Caenorhabditis elegans: one gene and its partners. The protein of the gene in region 2 interacts with the protein of the main gene of each other region in a pairwise test. Each region holds a gene or a part of one and is shown on either strand. Other genes may lie near its edges. The genes, in order: let-92, smg-2, smg-3 and Y61A9LA.3.

The links.
Region 1: the proteins of smg-2 (region 2) and let-92 interact in a two-hybrid assay, tested with the Caenorhabditis elegans proteins (one study listed by BioGRID).
Region 3: the proteins of smg-2 (region 2) and smg-3 interact in a two-hybrid assay, tested with the Caenorhabditis elegans proteins (one study listed by BioGRID).
Region 4: the proteins of smg-2 (region 2) and Y61A9LA.3 interact in a two-hybrid assay, tested with the Caenorhabditis elegans proteins (one study listed by BioGRID).

What each region holds. Positions count from the first base shown.
Region 1 is NC_003282.8:11,856,481-11,860,961, reverse strand, and holds let-92 (Serine/threonine-protein phosphatase 2A catalytic subunit), read right to left. Parts: upstream 2,521-4,481; 5' UTR 2,517-2,520; coding exon 2,388-2,516; intron 2,342-2,387; coding exon 2,132-2,341; intron 2,078-2,131; coding exon 2,015-2,077; intron 1,970-2,014; coding exon 1,781-1,969; intron 1,677-1,780; coding exon 1,503-1,676; intron 1,450-1,502; coding exon 1,258-1,449; 3' UTR 502-1,257; downstream 1-501. Other genes in the region: mob-1 (Mob1/phocein), read right to left, coding at 281-404.
Region 2 is NC_003279.8:1,174,941-1,179,524, forward strand, and holds the start of smg-2 (Regulator of nonsense transcripts 1), read left to right. Parts: upstream 1-1,532; 5' UTR 1,533-1,534; coding exon 1,535-1,681; intron 1,682-2,937; coding exon 2,938-3,479; intron 3,480-4,062; coding exon 4,063-4,451; intron 4,452-4,584. Other genes in the region: haf-6 (Mitochondrial potassium channel ATP-binding subunit), read right to left, coding at 444-687, 749-813. UniProt on the Caenorhabditis elegans protein: RNA-dependent helicase required for nonsense-mediated decay (NMD) of aberrant mRNAs containing premature stop codons and modulates the expression level of normal mRNAs.
Region 3 is NC_003282.8:6,370,044-6,374,731, forward strand, and holds the start of smg-3 (MIF4G domain-containing protein), read right to left. Parts: upstream 3,047-4,688; 5' UTR 3,045-3,046; coding exon 2,784-3,044; intron 2,737-2,783; coding exon 2,558-2,736; intron 2,503-2,557; coding exon 2,291-2,502; intron 2,242-2,290; coding exon 2,012-2,241; intron 1,960-2,011; coding exon 1,867-1,959; intron 1,823-1,866; coding exon 950-1,822; intron 899-949; coding exon 552-898; intron 119-551; coding exon 1-118. Other genes in the region: hrpf-2 (RRM domain-containing protein), read right to left, coding at 3,554-4,214, 4,265-4,458, 4,507-4,688.
Region 4 is NC_003283.11:4,569,093-4,574,139, reverse strand, and holds the start of Y61A9LA.3 (C2H2-type domain-containing protein), read right to left. Parts: upstream 3,006-5,047; 5' UTR 2,998-3,005; coding exon 2,939-2,997; intron 2,412-2,938; coding exon 2,183-2,411; intron 1,843-2,182; coding exon 1,752-1,842; intron 1,008-1,751; coding exon of another isoform or gene 216-1,007; intron 1-215. Other genes in the region: hpo-39 (uncharacterized protein), read left to right, coding at 216-1,007; sut-2 (Zinc finger CCCH domain-containing protein 14), read left to right, coding at 4,113-4,163, 4,225-4,541, 4,601-4,705.

The DNA of each region.
Region 1 (4,481 bases), on a different chromosome or scaffold from region 2:
ACTTATAGAAACTGTATGTTTCCGCTTTTTTAAAGGGAGAACCAAAATTGAGAAATAGTCTCGCCGCGCGTCAGTGTTTATTTGTTTTCGTGTACGCGCCTTTAAGATTACTGTAGGAAATTTATCCAATTTTTTGTATTTTTTGAGAAAATTGGATCAACTCGAAAAAAATCACAATTAGCAGTTTTTGTTTTATTATAAATTATTTTTTGTTTTATTACAAATTATTATTACCAAGCTGTGCAAAAAAATGTCAAAGTTTTTTTTAGCAAAAACTTACTATTTACGGCGAGCCATTCATTTTTATCTTCCCCTGGTGGAAGTTTCAGAGCGTCACGAAGATTTCCACTTCCTAACGTTGAAACTGCCATTGGATTGCACCATGATGAACTTGGTTCACTCATTTTCTGGAACCAAAATAATTCGATTTAAAGTTTTTTCTTTCACCAAGACAAGTATTGTTTTATGCTTTCTACATTGCAATCGAAAATTCAAAACTTTGATGTGGACACAGTTTATTGATCATTGATGATAAACAAAATGTTGATGGGGCAAAAATAATATTATAATTAAACAAAATGGGGGAATAAAATAGTGGAAAAGGGAGAGATGTTGTCCATTCGCATTTTGTGATAATAATCATAAGAAACAAGGAAGACGGGAAGTGGTGAAAAGGATGGGATGGAGGGGAAAATAGTGTAAGAATATGGAAGGAAAAGAAAAAGAGTAAAGAAATGTTGGAAGCGAACGCCGTACAGCGCGTGCGCGGAGAAGATCGCAACTTTTCTCACACGGGGATGACTGAAAAGAATATTGATTGCTTCATTGAGTGAAGGAAGAGAACCGAGTGCTAAGGTTGACACGAGATGTCGGAGATATTTTTTCAGTAATGGCTAATGATTCCGCCAAACTCTTCCCACCACATTAATTTACATGAACAATGAAATTTTCATCCCTATCATCGCATCATTTGAGAAGAGAAGCACGGTTTGATCGCCTAAATTTTGGTAGAGGACAAGAGAATGGAACAAAAAAGATAGATGAAGAACACAACAATCATTTCGAGCAACTTCAGAAGAGATGGGATTGTCAAATAGGATGGTGTTGGGCAACGATACAAAAACAACGATATTCTATATAATGACTGAAACGATGAAAAAGAGGAAAAGTGAGAGAAAGTATTGAAATTAATTGGGTAAGGGGGATAATACGGAAAAAAAAGAAAATGAAAACGGCGATTTGAACGGAGGTATCTATCTACAGGAAGTAGTCAGGCGTTCTGCGAGTAACATGTGGTTCTCCTCTTCGAGGGGCAGGGTCGAATTGCAAGAACGAATATTTGAGATCGTCGTCCAGCTCCACCATCGCTGCCTGATTTCCACAACGATAGCAGTAGTTTGGTGCTGAGAACACTGTTACCACGTTACGATCGTGACTCCAGTTGTATCCCTAAACATATTTATATCATTGCAAAATTATATCGATTTGAAATAATTTCTCACCTCCATGACAAGTTGATGGGCCCGAGAAATTAGAGTAAGTCCATTGGAATGGTTGAACGTCTCCGAGATATCCTGACCGAATGTGTATCCTGCTCCACGTGGAGAGATTCCCCAGCCACCTCTGTCATCTGGATCAGACCAGAGAAGATCGCACATTGGTCCTTCGTGTGGAACCTTTAAAAATATATGATTTTCGGTGATGAAAATGTTAGAACTTTTCTATTATTGAAATATTTCAGGCTAGTAACTATTAAAGGTAGATTTCCACAATAACTTACCTCTTGAATGCGGTCAAGAGCTCTGATGTGATCAAGAGTATCAATAGACGGTGAAAGACCTCCGTGAAGGCAGAAGATTTGACCATCAACAAGAGCGGTAAGTGGGAAACAGTCGAAGAGATCAGTGAAGTACTTCCACACATTCGAGTTTCCATATTTCCTCAAACACTCGTCATAGAACCCGTAGACCTAACAAGAAAATAATAATTTTTGAAATAAATTGATTTTAATTACCTGAGTGATTTGTCGCGACTCGTGATTTCCGCGGAGCAGTGTTACTCGATCCTTGTATCGAATCTGAATTTTTAAAGATGTTATAATAATTTCCATACTATATTGTGATAACTGTACCTTCAAACAGACAAGCAGACTAACTGTTTCGACGGAATAATACCCCCGGTCGACGTAGTCTCCCATGAAAAGGTAATTCGTGTCAGGACTCTTTCCACCCATTTTGAACAGCTCCATCAGATCGTGGAATTGACCGTGAACGTCACCACACACTGTCACAGGGCACCGGACTTCTTGCACATTCGGCTCTTTTTCCAAGATCTCTTTCGCCTTAAAAAAATTAATTTTTGACAATCACAAAACTGTATCAACAAACCTTTTCGCATAACGTTTTGACTTGATTCTCCGATAGTGGTTTACATTCGTATAACTGCTCAATCCACTGATCTACATCGACGATTAGTGCTTTATCAAGCGGATCCGCAGATGGTGGGGCAGCAGCCATACTACTGAAAACTTATTTGTTGGTCAAGAAATTAGAAGTATAAAAAAGTTTGAATGATAAGAACGCATAGAGAAAGAAGAAAGACAACGTGGGCAGCTATAGCAACGGAGCACGAGTCGGAGAAAGCGTGAAGAGCAGAAACTCACGCTGTTGCCTCACAGTCAATACTTTTCAGCGGATTCTTCTTTCCGTATAAACTGATAGGATTGCAAGACAAAAGGGATTAAGTGCCCCTTGCTCCAACAGCATCTTATAACGAAAAAGAAAACGTCACAATTGGAGGAGAGACAGTTAATGAAATGATGTAAAGCACAAGTTTTAAAAAAGACGGAAAATCAATCGTGAACAGGTTAAGAAAAGAAAACAAGAACATAGAAATAAAATGTGTAGTTTTTATGGATTATTTTTCAATGTTACTAAATGCCAGACCGGATTAGTTACTAGTGTCAAAAAGTGTCCATTCTCAATTTTAGACGAAGAAGTGAAAGATGAACAACAATCACGCGCTGAAAAATATTCATAGGAAAAAGAGGAAATCGATAACTCGCTGTTTGCGTTTCTACCTCCCACCAAACCATACGGAATTTCATTCCGTTCCGATAAGGCAAAGAACAAATGTTGTTAATTATGTTTCACAATAGGGGTCAATCTATGTTCTAACGAGAATTAAAATATTTTAATTGTTAGGCAAACGTTGATACGGTAAAAAACCTAATTATGTAACTGAAACTCTTCAAATGAAAAAAAAAATCATAAAACTGTGTTTTTTTTGCCTTATTTTCGGTGAATCATAATCAATATTCAATGGGCAAAAGCCAATTGTAATGGGAACACGTGAGAACGGAATAAATGAATTTAACATTAGTGGAAGACATCAAAATGATAGAGAACGCGGGATGATCGAGTACGACAAAATTGTTGTTTTGTGAGGAGAGCGAGGCGGAGAAAGCAGGGCTGCAGAGAGATGCGGGGCCCGCCAATTGGGCAGTGACGGAGGATCAGACGACAGATAGCGAAGGAGCAGCGGCACTCCTGTGCTATAACCAGCCGAGGAACCAATCGCATTGCGAAAGTGACGGAGAAAGAGATGAAAAAGAAAAGATATAAGGCAGAGGAAAGAGCGACCGCATCGCAAGGGCTCGCGTCGCGGTTCACTGCGCTCTACTGAACACCCTCACTGTCTGTTGTTAACAAGACGGAGAGAAGTGAAGAAGTCCTCTTCCTGAACCGATGTTTTCGTTTATTGGCGTTATCGCTGAAGGCGACAACGACGACAGCAGAGGCGTTGTGTGCAGAAAGGAGGTGTGAAAAGGCGAGGATTTAGAGCTCTGGTGACGTGCTAGGGACGGCCAAGTTATGATAGAGGGGCGTACTGAAAAAAATGTTCGAGGTAGAATATTTCTAGAAAAATACATTTCATAACCCAGCAGAATCATGATGACTCATTTATGCGAAATTTCAGAAAAAACGGTATGTTTTAGAAGATGAAACTATCGATTGGCAACTAACGAAGGTTAATGATGTCCGATTTTTTAAATTATTATGTAACAAAATCATTGTTGAAAAAGACCGAAAACTTCAGACAGAAAAAAAAACTGGTGAGCTAATTATAATTCAAATTAAAAGTAGGAATACGATCTAGCGGAATGACAATAGTTTGTTACTAACGGCTCCAGTAACTGAATCTAGTAAACAATATGATTGAAACCGGAGATTTTCAGCATCAGGTGTTAAAGAATGACATCAAAAACATGCTAGATGATGAATTCAAGAAGGCACTTACATTTTGACGAAACTTTTTGTACATTTTTGAGCTATAAGTCGATTTTTGGAAATTTCTTTTTTGAAAGCTTTCATATCAGCATTAAAATTTAATTAGAAATGATGGTAAAATAAGAAAAAAAATGCACGTTTAATTTTGAAAAGCGTAAAAAAACCGCGAAAAGGCTCGACGACACTGCTGCC
Region 2 (4,584 bases):
AATGAAGAAAATCAATGAAATAATGATAAAAAAAATAATGCAAGCGCGCTCCACCGAACAAGTTCAATTGGCGGAAATTCAAATAGGAATTAGGGGAAAACTGAGATTTTTTCAATTTTTTCTAATGAAATTGGGTAAAAACCGCCGAAAAATCATAAAAATCGAAAGAAAATCACCAAAAATGCCCAAAAAACATGATTTTTTACAAATTTTAAGCAAAAATGTTGCCATTTTCCAATTTAACTATGAAATTTCATTGATTTCATACGAATTAATGCGGAAATTAAAGTTTTTTTGCTGGAAAATTGACAGGAAACCTGAAATAAAATTAAAAAGCAAGATTTTAGGTGAAAATTGCACAATTTTTTGTAAGTTAACTATAAAAATACGTATTTTTCTCGATTTTTCCCAGTTTTCAACCGGATTTTTATCGAAAAATTCACCACAACTGCAGCGAAAAACCAGCCGAAAAAGGGTTTAATCAAATTCCACAGCTCTCCGGCCGTCATTGACGCATTCTGATCCTCCGTCGTCCTCAAATGGTCGATGCGTTTGCTCAATTTCGGAGCACATGCCGCTTTTCGTAGGGTTACAGCTCCTAAACCGGCTCCAAACCCACAAATTCGCCATGTTTTGAGTATTGTTGTCCTTGAAATCGGTTTGTGAAGCCATGGATAGCTGGAAAAGCTGCAAAAAACGGGAAAATATATGGAAAAATGGAAAATCAGCAGATTTTTGCAGATCTTACCAGTGTTTGCTGCTTTGCACGGCGCTTTTGATGGATATTTGGGATAGTTTAGATAGAATTGACATTAAAAACCAGGAAAAATCAATACAAATCAATAAAAATCAGTTCTTATCAGCGATTTTTTCCGATTTTCCAAGAAAAATAATAATCGAGAAAACATAAACTCCGTGCGGCACACTTGCAAAAACCGTGCGCCCACCTTGCAATGAGGTGTTTTTATCATATTTTTTCATTTTTCGACCGTTTTTCGCAATTTTTTCTAACAAAACCTCATTTTTTGTATGAAAATGTTGAAAAAATATGCATTTTCATGGTTAAATTGTTAAAAATCACACAATTTTCGCTTAAAATCATCTAAAATGATGAAATATTGCTCATTTTAAAAGTTGGGGGGATTTTTCAGTTTGTTTTTCAAATTTGAGCTCAAATTTTAGGCATTTTTACCTTTTTCCGATAAAAAGTGAGCGGAAATTGAAAATTTTCAATTTTAATTGTTGAAATTTCCAAAAATGCACCCGCTTTGTGATTAAATTAACACAGTTCTCATTTTCGAAGGTTTTCCGCCAATTTTCGGCAAAAATGTTGAATTTTTACATGAAAAATCTGCAAAAATAAGTGTAAAAGTGGTAAAAAATTACGAAATATTGCTCATTGTTAGATTTTGCAATTTGAAAAATGCTTTTTTGTACTTTTTTCACCTATTTTACTCGAATACCGACAAATTTCTCATGAATGCTATCGATTTCTCATTCCAAAACCCCTCAAAAACGCACTTTTCTTCCAGTAATGGACGATTCGGACGACGAATATTCGAGAAGCCACGGGGAAACCCTCACATTTGTGGATCCCGAGGACGATGGAGTCTCTATTGGGAACACGCAGGACTCTCAGTTCGCCTATGAGCAGTTTAGTGTGCCTACGCAGAGTTCTCAGGTAGAAAATTGCCGCATTTGTGTCAAAAAATCGAAGGAAAATTCTGGATTTTGCTGAAAAATCAAGTTTTTCACATGATTTTTCAGAGAAATTTGTATTCAAAATCCTTTGAATTGATAGACTTTACACACTGAAAAAAACGATGAAAATCATGAAAAAAAAACCACTCGAAAATGGACAAAACCGATGGAATTTGTGATTTTTATTTTCAATTTTTGTTCGAAAATGAGTATAATCCCGTCAATTTGCAATTTTCAGATGCTTTTTTGCCCACTTTGCCCAATCAATTTTTCGTGCAAATTTCAAGAAAAATCGATCCAAAAGCTCGAAAAAATTAGATTTTTGTGCAAAAATTGCAAAATTTTTTGAATTTGGCCATTTTCGATTAGTTTTTCTTGTAATTTTCAAGAAAACAAACCGTCCAATTTTTTTTGGAGATGTTTTGTGATATAAATTATCTTTTCCAACAATATCAACGATTTTCTAGAAGCTCAACGTTAAAAAAGGTTAGAAAATTAGATTATACTATTACGGGAACACAAAATTCTGAGAATGCGTATTGCACAACATATTTGACGCGCAAAATATCTCGTAGCGAAAACTACAGTAATTCTTTAAATGACTACTGTAGGTCGATTTACGGGCTCGATTTTCATTTTTCCTTCGCCAAAATCGAGATTCCGTAAATCGACACTACAGTAGTCATTTAAAGAATTACTGTAGTTTTCGCTACGAGATATTTTGCGCGTCAAATATGTTGTGTAATACGCATTCTTAGAATTTTGTGTTCCCGTAATAGTATAATCTAATTTTCTAACCTTTCTTAACGTTGAGCTTGCTCTGGAAAAGATAATTTATATCACCAAAAACTTGTTTTAAAAAGAATTTTTCTCATTCCTTACTGTCAGGAATCTTGGAAATTGTGATTTTTTTTTCCAATATTTTTGTTTATCGCAATTTTCAGATGATTTTTGAGCACTTTGCCCACAATTTTTCGTGCTAATTTCAAGAAAATCGACCCAAAAGCGTACAAAAAATTCCAAGAAAATTCCAAAGCAATTTTAAAAATTCGACTCTCAAAAAAAAACACCTATTCCAGGCGACAGATCTTAATTTTAAATAAATTTTTATTCAAAATCCTCTGAAAGTGGAAATTTCAGTGGAAAAAAACCAAGAAAATCATAGAAAAGTCCCTTAAAATCAATTTTTTTTGTCAATTTTTCAAAATTCTCAACAAAAAAAAACCCATATTCCAGGCGACAGATCTGCTGCCAGGAGGAACCGATGGAACCACCAACGATTTGCCATTTCACGACGTGGAAGACGACGAGTCGGACAGTGAAAAATCACTGACAGAAGAGCAGCAGCAGCAGAAGCTGCCGGAGCACGCGTGTCGCTATTGTGGAATCTCTGATCCTCTGTGTGTCGCCAAATGCACAGTCTGCAGGAAATGGTTCTGTAATTCCAATGATGGAACGTCGGGCGGGCATATTGTTCATCATATGGTTCGGAGTCAGCATAAGGAAGCCTACACGCATAAGGATTCACCGTGTGGTGACACTCAATTGGAATGCTATCGTTGTGGTTCGAAAAACGTGTTTAATCTCGGCTTCATCCCCGGAAAAAAGGATCAAGTCGTCGTGATAATCTGTAGAACACCGTGCGCCAGTATTGCATTCCAGAATGATGATAATTGGTCGCCCGAGGACTGGAAATCTGTAATCGCTGAAAAACAGCTGCTATCGTGGATTGTTAATGTGCCCAGCGAGGAGCAGGTGGCCAGAGCTAGGAAAATCACGTTAGTGGAGGAAAATCGATTTTTGAGAAAAATTTTAAAATAATAATTAAAGGAATTTCCAACCAAAAATGCAATTTCCGAGCGATCGAATTTTAACAATTTTTAACTAAATCTCGCCGTCCATCGACTTTAAAATACCTAAATCGAGTTGAAAACGCAAGATAATTAAATTGTATACTCAAAATTTGACGGTGGTTACAAAAAAAAAATAGTTTCCAGCCGCTTTACAAGTCGGTCAAATTTCAAATTTTAACTAATTTTAGGCCATTTTTTGAACCGTCATAACTTGTTTTTTGAGAAGTTTCACTATGAAATTCGGTGTTTTCTGAGTTGAATAAAGCAATTTTAAAAAATTCGACTACACCACCTTTAATATTTCTATAGCTTCGATTTTTTTGTTGATAAAAAATCTATTCCCAGTTTCCAAAAGAAATTGAAAATTGAATTTTTTTTCGAATTTTCGTGCAAAAAATTCTCAATTTCTACCGGCATTGGTGCAAAAAGCCGGAAAAACACAAGTGGTATAGTACTTTTAAATAGCTATATATATATATATATATATATGAAAAACTAAATTTTCCAGTGCTACCCAAGCAGTCCGAATGGAAGAGCTCTGGCGTGATCACCCAGAAGCAACCGTTGACGATTTAAATAAACCGGGACTCGATCGAGAACCGGATCATGTTCAATTAAGATATGTGGATGCTCATCACTATTCGAAAGTGTTCCGTCCATTAGTTGCAATTGAAGCAGAATATGATCGAAGAGTTAAAGAATCAGCATCACAAGCAGTCGGAACTGTTAGATGGGAACAAGGACTTCGTCAATCGGTTCTCGCGTTCTTTCATCTTCCACAATTTGCTGATGGTGTCATGAAGCTTGCGAAAGGCGATGAACTTCGATTGAAACATTCTCAGACGGTTGATGGATCGGAATGGACCAAGATTGGAAGTGTTTTCAAGATTCCTGATAGTAAGGGATGGGAAAAATAAAAATAAAAATTTTGAGTAGTTTTTCTTGGAATTTTCAAGAAATAACTGTCCAAAATTTTTTTTTTGGAGATTTTTCCTGATATAAATTGTATTTTCCAGTAATTTCAACGATT
Region 3 (4,688 bases), on a different chromosome or scaffold from region 2:
ATAGAGAATCTTCAAGACTAGATCTTCATCACACAGCTCAAAACTGTAGAGCTCTGCAAGATAAACGGCGGCAGAATGAGCCCATTGATTGTAGACTCCAGGATTTTCCAAGGATATTCTGGAAATAACTCTTATGCTTGCTGCTTGAACTGGAAACGAGAGATGCGCGGCACATTTACAAAACGATATTCTCTCATTGTCGTGCCGAAATATTTTTTTCGGAAATTTTAATAGAAATAAAGATAAACATGTATAGTTTCTAAGAATAATGTTACTTTCAATTGAAAGTTTTGGGAAGTTGCTCAAAAACTAACACAACCGTACGATGCAGTATTAATATTTGAATCAGGGGTGTGCGGCAAATCTCAAAATTTGTCGAGCTCGGCAAGTTCGGCAAATTCGGCAAATTTGCCGCACACCCCTGATTTGAATCAATGGGCAATGCCTCGAAACTTTTCATTGAGAGCAATTTTTTTCAGAAAGTACAAAAAAAGTTATATATATATTTCTGTGTAAATGTGCCGCACATCTCTATCGAAAATCGTTCATACCGAATAGTTTCAATTGTTGAATCAATTACAGCCATTCCAATCCATTGAAGATGTACCAAATTACAGAGACCAGCAATCGCAGATGCCACGTGTTGAAGATTTTCAATGGGAAGAAGCCACGTGGAGGAGAGATAACGAATTGCATAATCAGCAACTTCTGGATCATACCATTCAAGCCTCCGAAGACATTTTAAGAAAACATCAACGGTTGATTCATTGATATCCAGAATTATGTGACGAATAAATCGTTTCATTGGAGTATCCTCTTCGTCTAGCTTCAAACGAAGACGTTCTTCTTTTGAATCTTCTGGTGGAAGGCAGGTGAAATACGCATTGTCTATGAGCATCTGAAATATCGAAATTGAATTAATATTATGATGTAGTTCATCTAAACATACCGCTTGTCTTTGATCTTTCATTCGTTCTCGTTTCGCCTTCACAACTTCCAATAATCTCTTCATTTTTGCATGTGATTCAGTATGTCTATACAGATAAAGACCACTAGATTCCATGAATGTCGCTGTCATTTCTACAGAATGTCCACGTAAATCATACACAAGTTGTCTCAAACAACTGAGTCCTTCAGCACGAGAAATTACTCCAAACTTCATCAGTTCAGCTATCATCATCACGCAAACCATCTTTGATTCCACTTTGATTATAGCAGTAGCTGACGATGGTTTCTGTTGCAAAAATCCGCGGAATTTCTCGAGTAGTTGAGTTACGATTTCAGTTGTCAAATCAGGCATCACATTCTCGAGAGTAGCGACAAGTCGGGCATAAAATGGAACAACATCGATCCGAGACGGAGGTGGATCGATCATAAGCTTCACAAGCCTCTTGCGACAACCCTTATTATTCAGATTCGAAACAAAATAAATAGCTGCTTGGTCAGTTGAGTACTTGCTGACAAGATGATCCAAATCAAGTACAAAACTTTGCCATTTGCTGACTCCTCGTTCTTCGGATGCATCCACAGCTTCTTTGAGAAGAGCTTGAAGTTGAGAATCTTCTGGTGTCGTCTCCTTTTCAGACTCTCCACGTTGTAATGATGATCTCTTCGCATCCATTGCTCCGGATTCATTGATATTTTCCATATCGACATCTTCAATCCTTTCAGCCATCTTCGCTTTGCTGAGAGTTCTCTGTTCAGATTCTTTATAAAGATCCTTGGGAACCATCTGTCGAAGATCGATAAGATCCTCGTAGAATGCCTTCGTCTCTTCATCACTCCACAGCTTGATTGCTCCTTCTGCAAGTTTGCGTCCCATCTGAAATATAGAATAAGTTCAAGTTTTTGGTCGAATCAAAAAACCTCCAAGTTGGCAGCTTCATCCTCTTCATCGTCACTAGCTTCCTCTTTTAGCGGTTTCATTTCCACACCGATTGCAGACGATATCTCTATAGCCTAAAATGAGGGGTTTTCTCAAATTTTCCTATTGGGTAATTAATTTTTGTACCATTTTCCGCAGAGAATCCAATTCAGACTGAAGATCATTCAAAGTTGTCTTTTCCTCATCACCAGCGTCTCCACGGCTTCTTTCCTGTCGTTTAACTCTCTTCATCGCCTTATTTCTTGCCGAACACGTTTTCTCGGTTTTCGAATAAAGTGAATCGTAGTATGATTTGAAGAGCTCACGAATCGACTTTTTCTGTTCAACTGAGAGAGCTGATGACTCAGGGAGTTCTTCTGAAAACATTGATAATGAATATACGCTCCTGATTAAAAAGATAACAACCGTCTTGAATCTCGACCGTTTCAGCATCATCCATTGGAATTGGCACAATATTTGCAATTTGCCATCCAACAGTTCTAGATACTGTAGCCAATAATCCAACATTGACAAAATCAGTCTTATCTGTTTGAATCAAATAACTTAATACAGCACCGAGAACTTGAAGTCCTTCCTTTTCATTGAAAACTCCACACAGGCAAAGTTCAGCGAGGAAGCTGGAAATATTTTATTTATTCTCAGATGAAAACTGTCTTATTAATGCAATCTAACATAATATCCACTCTCAATTTTGCAACATTTGCAATTTTGTCACTCTTTTTAACAGGAAGAACTTTTTTGAATTCCCCAGCCATCTGTTCACTGAAGTTTGAATATTTCGCAGAAATTGCAAGGCAGAGCTCTGTTACTTTCGGAATATCGGATAACTTCAATTTTGTCTCTATAATTCCCTGAAAAATTATCCGATTTTCAATGGAATTCGAAATCAAGAACCCACCGACGCCATTTCCTCAACAAATTTGCTTAAATTCAATTTCGATAATTCTTCAATTAATTGTGGAACAGTGGCCGCACTGAGAAGCTTCACTTTTTTCATAAAACTCGTCGTCTTTTTCAATGTTGAATCTAAACTTCGCAATTCTTTTTCGTTATCGAGCAAAGTTTCTCGAATCTCGACCATTTGAAGACGACTTGTTTCTTGATATTTTACACGCTTTTTCAGCTCTTCCAGCCATGATGTCTCGACTTTTCGCCGCATCTGCATAGACTGTGATAGAGAATCGTCATTTTACAAAATAAAGTGTACACTCAAGTATATAATTGAACATTCCAACATTCTATGAAACAACCAAGAAGTGAAATAATTATCCATGTCTCATTTCCTAATTAAAAAGAAATAAGAATTTCCAAATTGTAACATATTAAAACGCGGGGCGAACAGCCATTAAATATCAAAAAGGATACAGAAAAAAAAAACAATGAAAGTCTCAAATTCAGAAATCTATTAATTAATAAAAATTGTGTAGGAAGATCAAAGCATGATATTTTGATAGTTGAACAGAACAGAGGTAAAATAAGACGTTCGCGTTGGAAAATCATGAGAACAAGATAATAAATAACCGAGACCTCGGAGAACAGAGAAAAAAGTAAAGTGATACACTAGATTATAAGGAACAATGCTCATTTGTCTGGAAAATCGAAAGAACTGGGATTTTGGCAGGAACAGAAAAAAGGAAGTCAGAAGTGAAAAGAAAAAAAAGAAGATAATTAATATCCACTTCGATGATCTCCAGCTCCAGCTCCCCATCCTCCATAAGCACTGTGATGAGACGGTTGTTGTTGCTGAGCCCATGTTGGCTGTGAGTCTCTAGGTTCTCTTTGACGATCGTAAGCTCCTCCAGCAGATGCTCCATACGAATATGATTCGCCTGATCCATATGCAGAATGAGCAGCTGTGGGATATGTGGATGCAGGTTCTGCAGAATACGCAGACTGTGCTTGTGAAGCATAATAAGCATCCCAGCTTGCAGCATAACCTCCGGCAGCACTGCTCTGATCATAACTCGGACCAGTAGATGCTGCTCCATAACTTCCCCACGTATCAGGAGCCCGGCCATGCGCAGCTGGTGGTGCACGAATTGGAGCACTGCGTGGTGGGATGCCTCGTGGTTCATATTTGGGTTCTATATCGTATCCTCGTGGTTCCCGTGGGCCATATGGATCCCTTGATTCTCTGTATGATGGTGGCATAGCTTGAGGACCTGCCCTGTAGCCAGAGTCTCGTTGTGGTGGCCCTCCGCCACGTCTTCCTCCGTTAAGAATCGGATCAGGCGCTGGAGCAGCTGATGCATTCGTGCCACTTGTTTCTTTCCAAAGAAGACGACGCATTGGACCAGGCGCTCCACGATTATCAAACAGTTCGACATATCTACAAATAACAATAATTATTCCATGTTCTGATTATAAATTTCAAATTACCGTCTTCCCATTCTTTGATTGTTACGCGAGAGAGCGACTTGAAGATCGTTGTAATTGTCAAATTCCGCAATAGCATCTCCAGATGGACGACCAGTTTCGTTGATTCCTATTTTGACTGAATGGCATCGAAGTGGAGAAAAAAAAGCAGCGATAGCATGATCATCAGCATCATAAGGAAGACCACGCATATACACCTGAAAAATAAAATAATTTATTTTACAATCGCAGAAAAATACTCATACCCTCAGCGGATCATCGCCTCCTCTTCCATAATCACTGCGACCTCCTTGATCGTGTCCACCATTGTATCCATAATCCCGACGTCCGCCATAACTTCCACGATTGTAGTCATCATAACCACGATCATAGCTGCTGTCGCCGTATCTTCCACCACCACCTCGTCTTCCGTGGTCATATCCTGAAT
Region 4 (5,047 bases), on a different chromosome or scaffold from region 2:
GCATCTAAACAGCATATGTATAATGTTTCAGAAAAAGTTTAGGTTTTGTATTCCCGTAATCCATCATTTTACATTGACCACTTTCACCGCTGCTTGCCGACTGAATACATAATTTTTTGACTTGGAAATTGTTTTAGCATCTGCAAAAAATATTTGGTTTAATTACCCAAGTTTGAGTTTGAGGTACGCCGGTCAACTGCTGCAGGTCATTGGTCATGTCGGAACCACCTCCTCCTCATTCCGCCCCAGTGCCTATGGTGAAGACGGATTTCTTCGCTTTCTCTGGTCCTTATCTCCCGGAGGACGCTCACGGTACGAGTTCTCCGCCGGAGAAACAACAGCAAACCCGGAAGCGCGGTCGCCCGACCGCTCTTGAATTGCTCACTACCCGTGTTGAAGAATTGGAAAAGGAAAATTCGAGCTTGAGAACCTTCCGTACCGCCGCTGAAAGCAGATGTCGTGCCCTGGAGAGCAAACAATCGGAACTCTTCCAAACCGTCGAGCAGCTCAAGGTAGTTGTTGCCAAGCTCACGAACGAATGCTCTGCCCGTGTTACCTCCAATTTGCCCGCTCCACGCCTGTTCGCCGATGTTCTCAAGGGACAATCAGCCGAGAAGAAAGCAGAGATCATTGCAGAAAGACGTGAAGCAGCAGCCAGCATTTCCCTGTTTGAGAAGAAGACTCATTTCGCCGTGATTGAAAATCTACCGGATGATGGCTCGGATTCACAATCCGCCAAGGATAAGGTTTTTCTCGATAATTTAATTGCCGCTAATCCCTCCCTCCCTGTACATATTCAAACTTTCCGCGTCAAAACTCGCAAACCAGTCTTATCCCGCCCAACAAAAATTCGTTTCTCTTCTGAAGCCGACCGCAATTCGTTCATTTTCTCTTTCTCCAAAACTCTCCGTTCGTTGCCTGATCGCCCCACTAACCTTCCAAGACCCATCCGCTGCAGACGCGATATGACCAACGATGTTATCTATCCTGAGAGAGTTGAGAGCTGACGCTTATAACAGAAATACCCAAGCTGGCGAGATTCGTTATTATGTGCGCGACCTTAAGATTGTGACTCTCTCGTCACCGCGTCCACTTCCTATCTCTGTTGATTCGGCTGCTCCCGTTGCTAACGCATAGGTAAACGGCCACCGGGCTTTATTATCGTCTTGTCCGTCCATTGCTTCTCAAAGTGTGTCTTTCAAAGGTGTAATTTATCGTACGCGTCATACAGTAGCAGGCTTTCCCAATTTAATTTATTGTCTACCCACCATAGACGGGTTCTTCAAATCCTCCGAACCTTCCATAAAATTATTTCAAGCGAGTATCACTTCCCGTCCTTATCATCGTTCGTTCGAGCTTCACGCTCTACTCGTCACCCCTATCTACTTGTTGTCTGTGGCGTCCCGTCTAAATGTTTTCTACATGTTAACTTGTCGTTGTGGAACCGAATAGCAAAACGTTTCCCTAAACTGTTAACTCCAAATGCATTTGCGTCGCGCCTAGGCTCTATCCCATTTGACACCCTCTTCCCCCCAACTTGACCTCCCGGGCTATAGCTGGTCCAATTGGTCATTTTATTTATCTGTCCACACATCTTTTTTATTTTACTTTTTTTCTTTGTCTTCCGGTGTAGCTATTTCTTGTGGCAAATAAACAATTATTATTACTTTTCCGAATTTTTGAATCGCCATCACTTTTTTGAGAAATTTTCGGCAGTTTCGGGCCATTTTGGGTCCAGTCTAAAAACGTACCACTGATAACTTGAATTTCTGGAGATGCAGACCGACTTCTCGCGATTTCCATTTCTCCGCCAATGTGCTCAAAGTCTAGTCTCGGCTGAAACTATTTAATTCGTGAATTTTCATCAAAATCCGAAAAAAAAGTCTAAAAACCAGAAAAACCACATCGCAACCAATCAGCGATTCGCTCCGCCCATCCTTCAACCAATCAGATTGAGTGGGCGGAGTTCGAAGTCGTTGATTGGTCGGGGAATTCTCGTTTTGAAGTCAATTCTCAAAATGAGGATTCCCCGACTTCGAACTCCGCCCACTCCATCTGATTGGTTCAAAGATGGGCGGAGCGAATCGCTGATTGGTCGGGGAGTTTTGGAGGGAATTTCAGCGAAAATTGAGTTTTTAAGTTGGATTTTTTGAACTTTTCGACTCAAAATCGCGCTCCTTACATGTCTGAGCAACGGCTGTCTCCCTTCATTTCTTCCCATCGTCGTCAAATCCTCTCCAAACGGCCCCTTATCGAAACCACGTCTTCTCGAATTATCCACTACGGGTCCATTATAGGTGTCCACCACCGGCTGAAATCCGTGATACGGATCACTTCCTCCAAGAATTGCAGCTCTCATAGAAGGAACCGGCGGGCCAGGACGTCTATCGAAATCGCCACGTCTAGCATCACTGAAAAAATATAAAAAAATGAGTTTTATTTTTTTTTCCCGGAAAATCCGGATTTTTTCATCCTCAGAGGTGAGGTACCGAAATTTGAGACTTTGCTTTTTAGACCCAAAATGGTCCAAAACTACCGAATTTCGTAATGAGACGTTCTGAAAATATTTCAAAAAAAAAGTTATGACCGCTCGAAAATTTTGGAAAAAATGGCCAATTTTTAGCTAAAATCTCAAATTTTTTCCAACTTCTCGGTGTTGCAGCGGTTAGAACTTAATTATTATTTTTTTATCACTTTTTAATAAATATTGTGGTCTTTGATTAGGCGTTTATTCGTTGATTTAAGTACATTTATGGTCAGTGGGGCACAAAATTTAACTTTTATTTGTGCCCCACTGACCATAAATGTACTAATCAATGAATAAACGCCCAATCAAAGACCACAATATTTATTTAAAAGTGATAAAAAAAATAATAATTAAGTTCTAACCGCTGCGACACCGAGAAGTTGGAAAAAATTTGAAAAAAAAACGGCTCACATTGGAATATGCGGAGGAATTATCCGATTTGGAACATGTTCGTACGACGAATGTCGCATGTCTCTAGCTGGAAAAAAAAACCGGAAATTCGTGGACAAGAACGGATTTGAGGAGGAAAAACGAGGGGAGACGCAGACAGAAATGCACGCAGCCACAGAAAATCGATAGTTTTCCACGAAATCAGTCTAGAAATATTTGGAAAAAAATTATTTCAAGGATGGAAATTGCTGGTAAAACTGTGAAAGTGCTTCAAAAATCGATTGAAAATGAAAAAAAATCTAAATATTAAATTTCATTAAATTCTCTCAATTTCTAGTTGTTTTTGGTGATTAAATGAACAAAATATGCATTTTTTCGGCAAAAAAAATCCGAAAATCTGAAATTTTAAGCTCGAAAACCTAAGAAACTCTCTGAAAATCGATAAAAACAAGAAATCATAAATTTCAATCTATTTTCAGTTATTTTTGGTGATTAAATAAACCAAATACACATTTTTCCGGCAAAAAACCCTGAAATCCTCTGAAAATCGATTAAAACTTAAAAAAAAATGAAGCGTCCGTAAAAATAAAGAAAAATCATAAATTCCAGCGATTTTCTTAATTTCTAGTTATTTATAATGATTAATTGAACAAAATAGGCATTTTTCGACAAAAAACCCTTAAAATCTTCAATTTTAACACAGAAAACCTGAGAAATCCTCTGCAAATCGATTAAAAAACACAAAAACCTTTTATGCAAAAATCTGCATTTTGTCGTCACAGTGTGTGCATACTTTACACCGAATCTTACGACAAATAATTGTCGCTGCTGGCATTGTGAGAGAGAAAGGGATACACGTGATTTTCGTATAATTCCGATTCGTTTTCCCTGAATTTTTCTAATTAATTTATTGAATTATTTTAAATTATTGATTTTCTGTCAATTTTCACACAAAAATTGCCGCTGATTTATTCAAAGTGTCGGTTTTTATCCCGTTATTTGAATATTTTCGAAAAACCAGATTATTTGTGGTTTTAGTGATTTTTAGTGAACTTCCGGAAGTTTCTTGAGCCAATATAACTTTGAAATCAGTTTTTAAAGCTTACTATGACATTATTATCTTAAAAATTGGAACAAAAATTGTGATATTTAGCTTATTGATTTTTTTTTGGTTTTCAGATATAATCTGTTCGAAATGAATACTCAAACAGGGACAGGAACCTCAGAAGTGTCGAAAAAACTAAAGGTAACGTTAAATAAGTTAATAAATTTCAAAAATCGCAAAAATTAATAATTTTTTAATTCAGGCCGCGATTCGAGCCAAACTTGAAGAGCTCGGCGTCTACGTGGACGATGAATTACCCGATTATATTATGGTAATGATTGCGAATAAGAAGGAAAAAGTGCAGATGAAGGACGATCTCAACTTATTTATCGGAAAAAGCACTGCGAAATTCGTCGACTGGCTTTTTGATCTGTTCGATCGCCTACAAAACGCTTCGAACAAGCAAGGAGAGACTAGTAAAAAGGAGGAGGATAAGAGAAAAGAGCTGGAAGCAACAGCAGCAGCAAAGGAGCATGAAGAGAAACGAAGAAAAGAGAAGGAAGAGCATGAGAAAGAACTGTAAGTGCCGAGCGAAGGAATAAGAAATAATTAAAAATTGAAAATTTCAAAAATTCCAGGCAAAAAGAAAAAGAACGTGAGAAGGAGCGTCAACGAGAACGTGATCGTGAAAAGCGGGCCGAAGAGGAGAAGCGTCGTGAGGAGAAGAGAAAAGAGATTCAGAGGTAGTTTTCTGATAGAACACAGAATATTTCGGGATCACAAAATTCTGAGAATGCGTATTGCGCAGCATATTTGACGCGCAAAATATCTCGTAGCGAAAACTACAGTACTCTCTCTCTCTTTAAAGGAGGACTAACGGTTCGGACTCAAAATGAGCTCAATCACGCTCTCCTCAAAGCTGATTAATCATTAGAGCGCGCTCCGCCTCTATTTCTGTGCGACGCTGCTTTTTTTGTGCAAAATTCAAGAATTAAAGGTGGTGTATTCAAAATTTTTATTGTTTTATTAGACTTGAAATTGTCTCAAAACACCGAATTTCATAATGAAACTTCTTGAAAACTTCT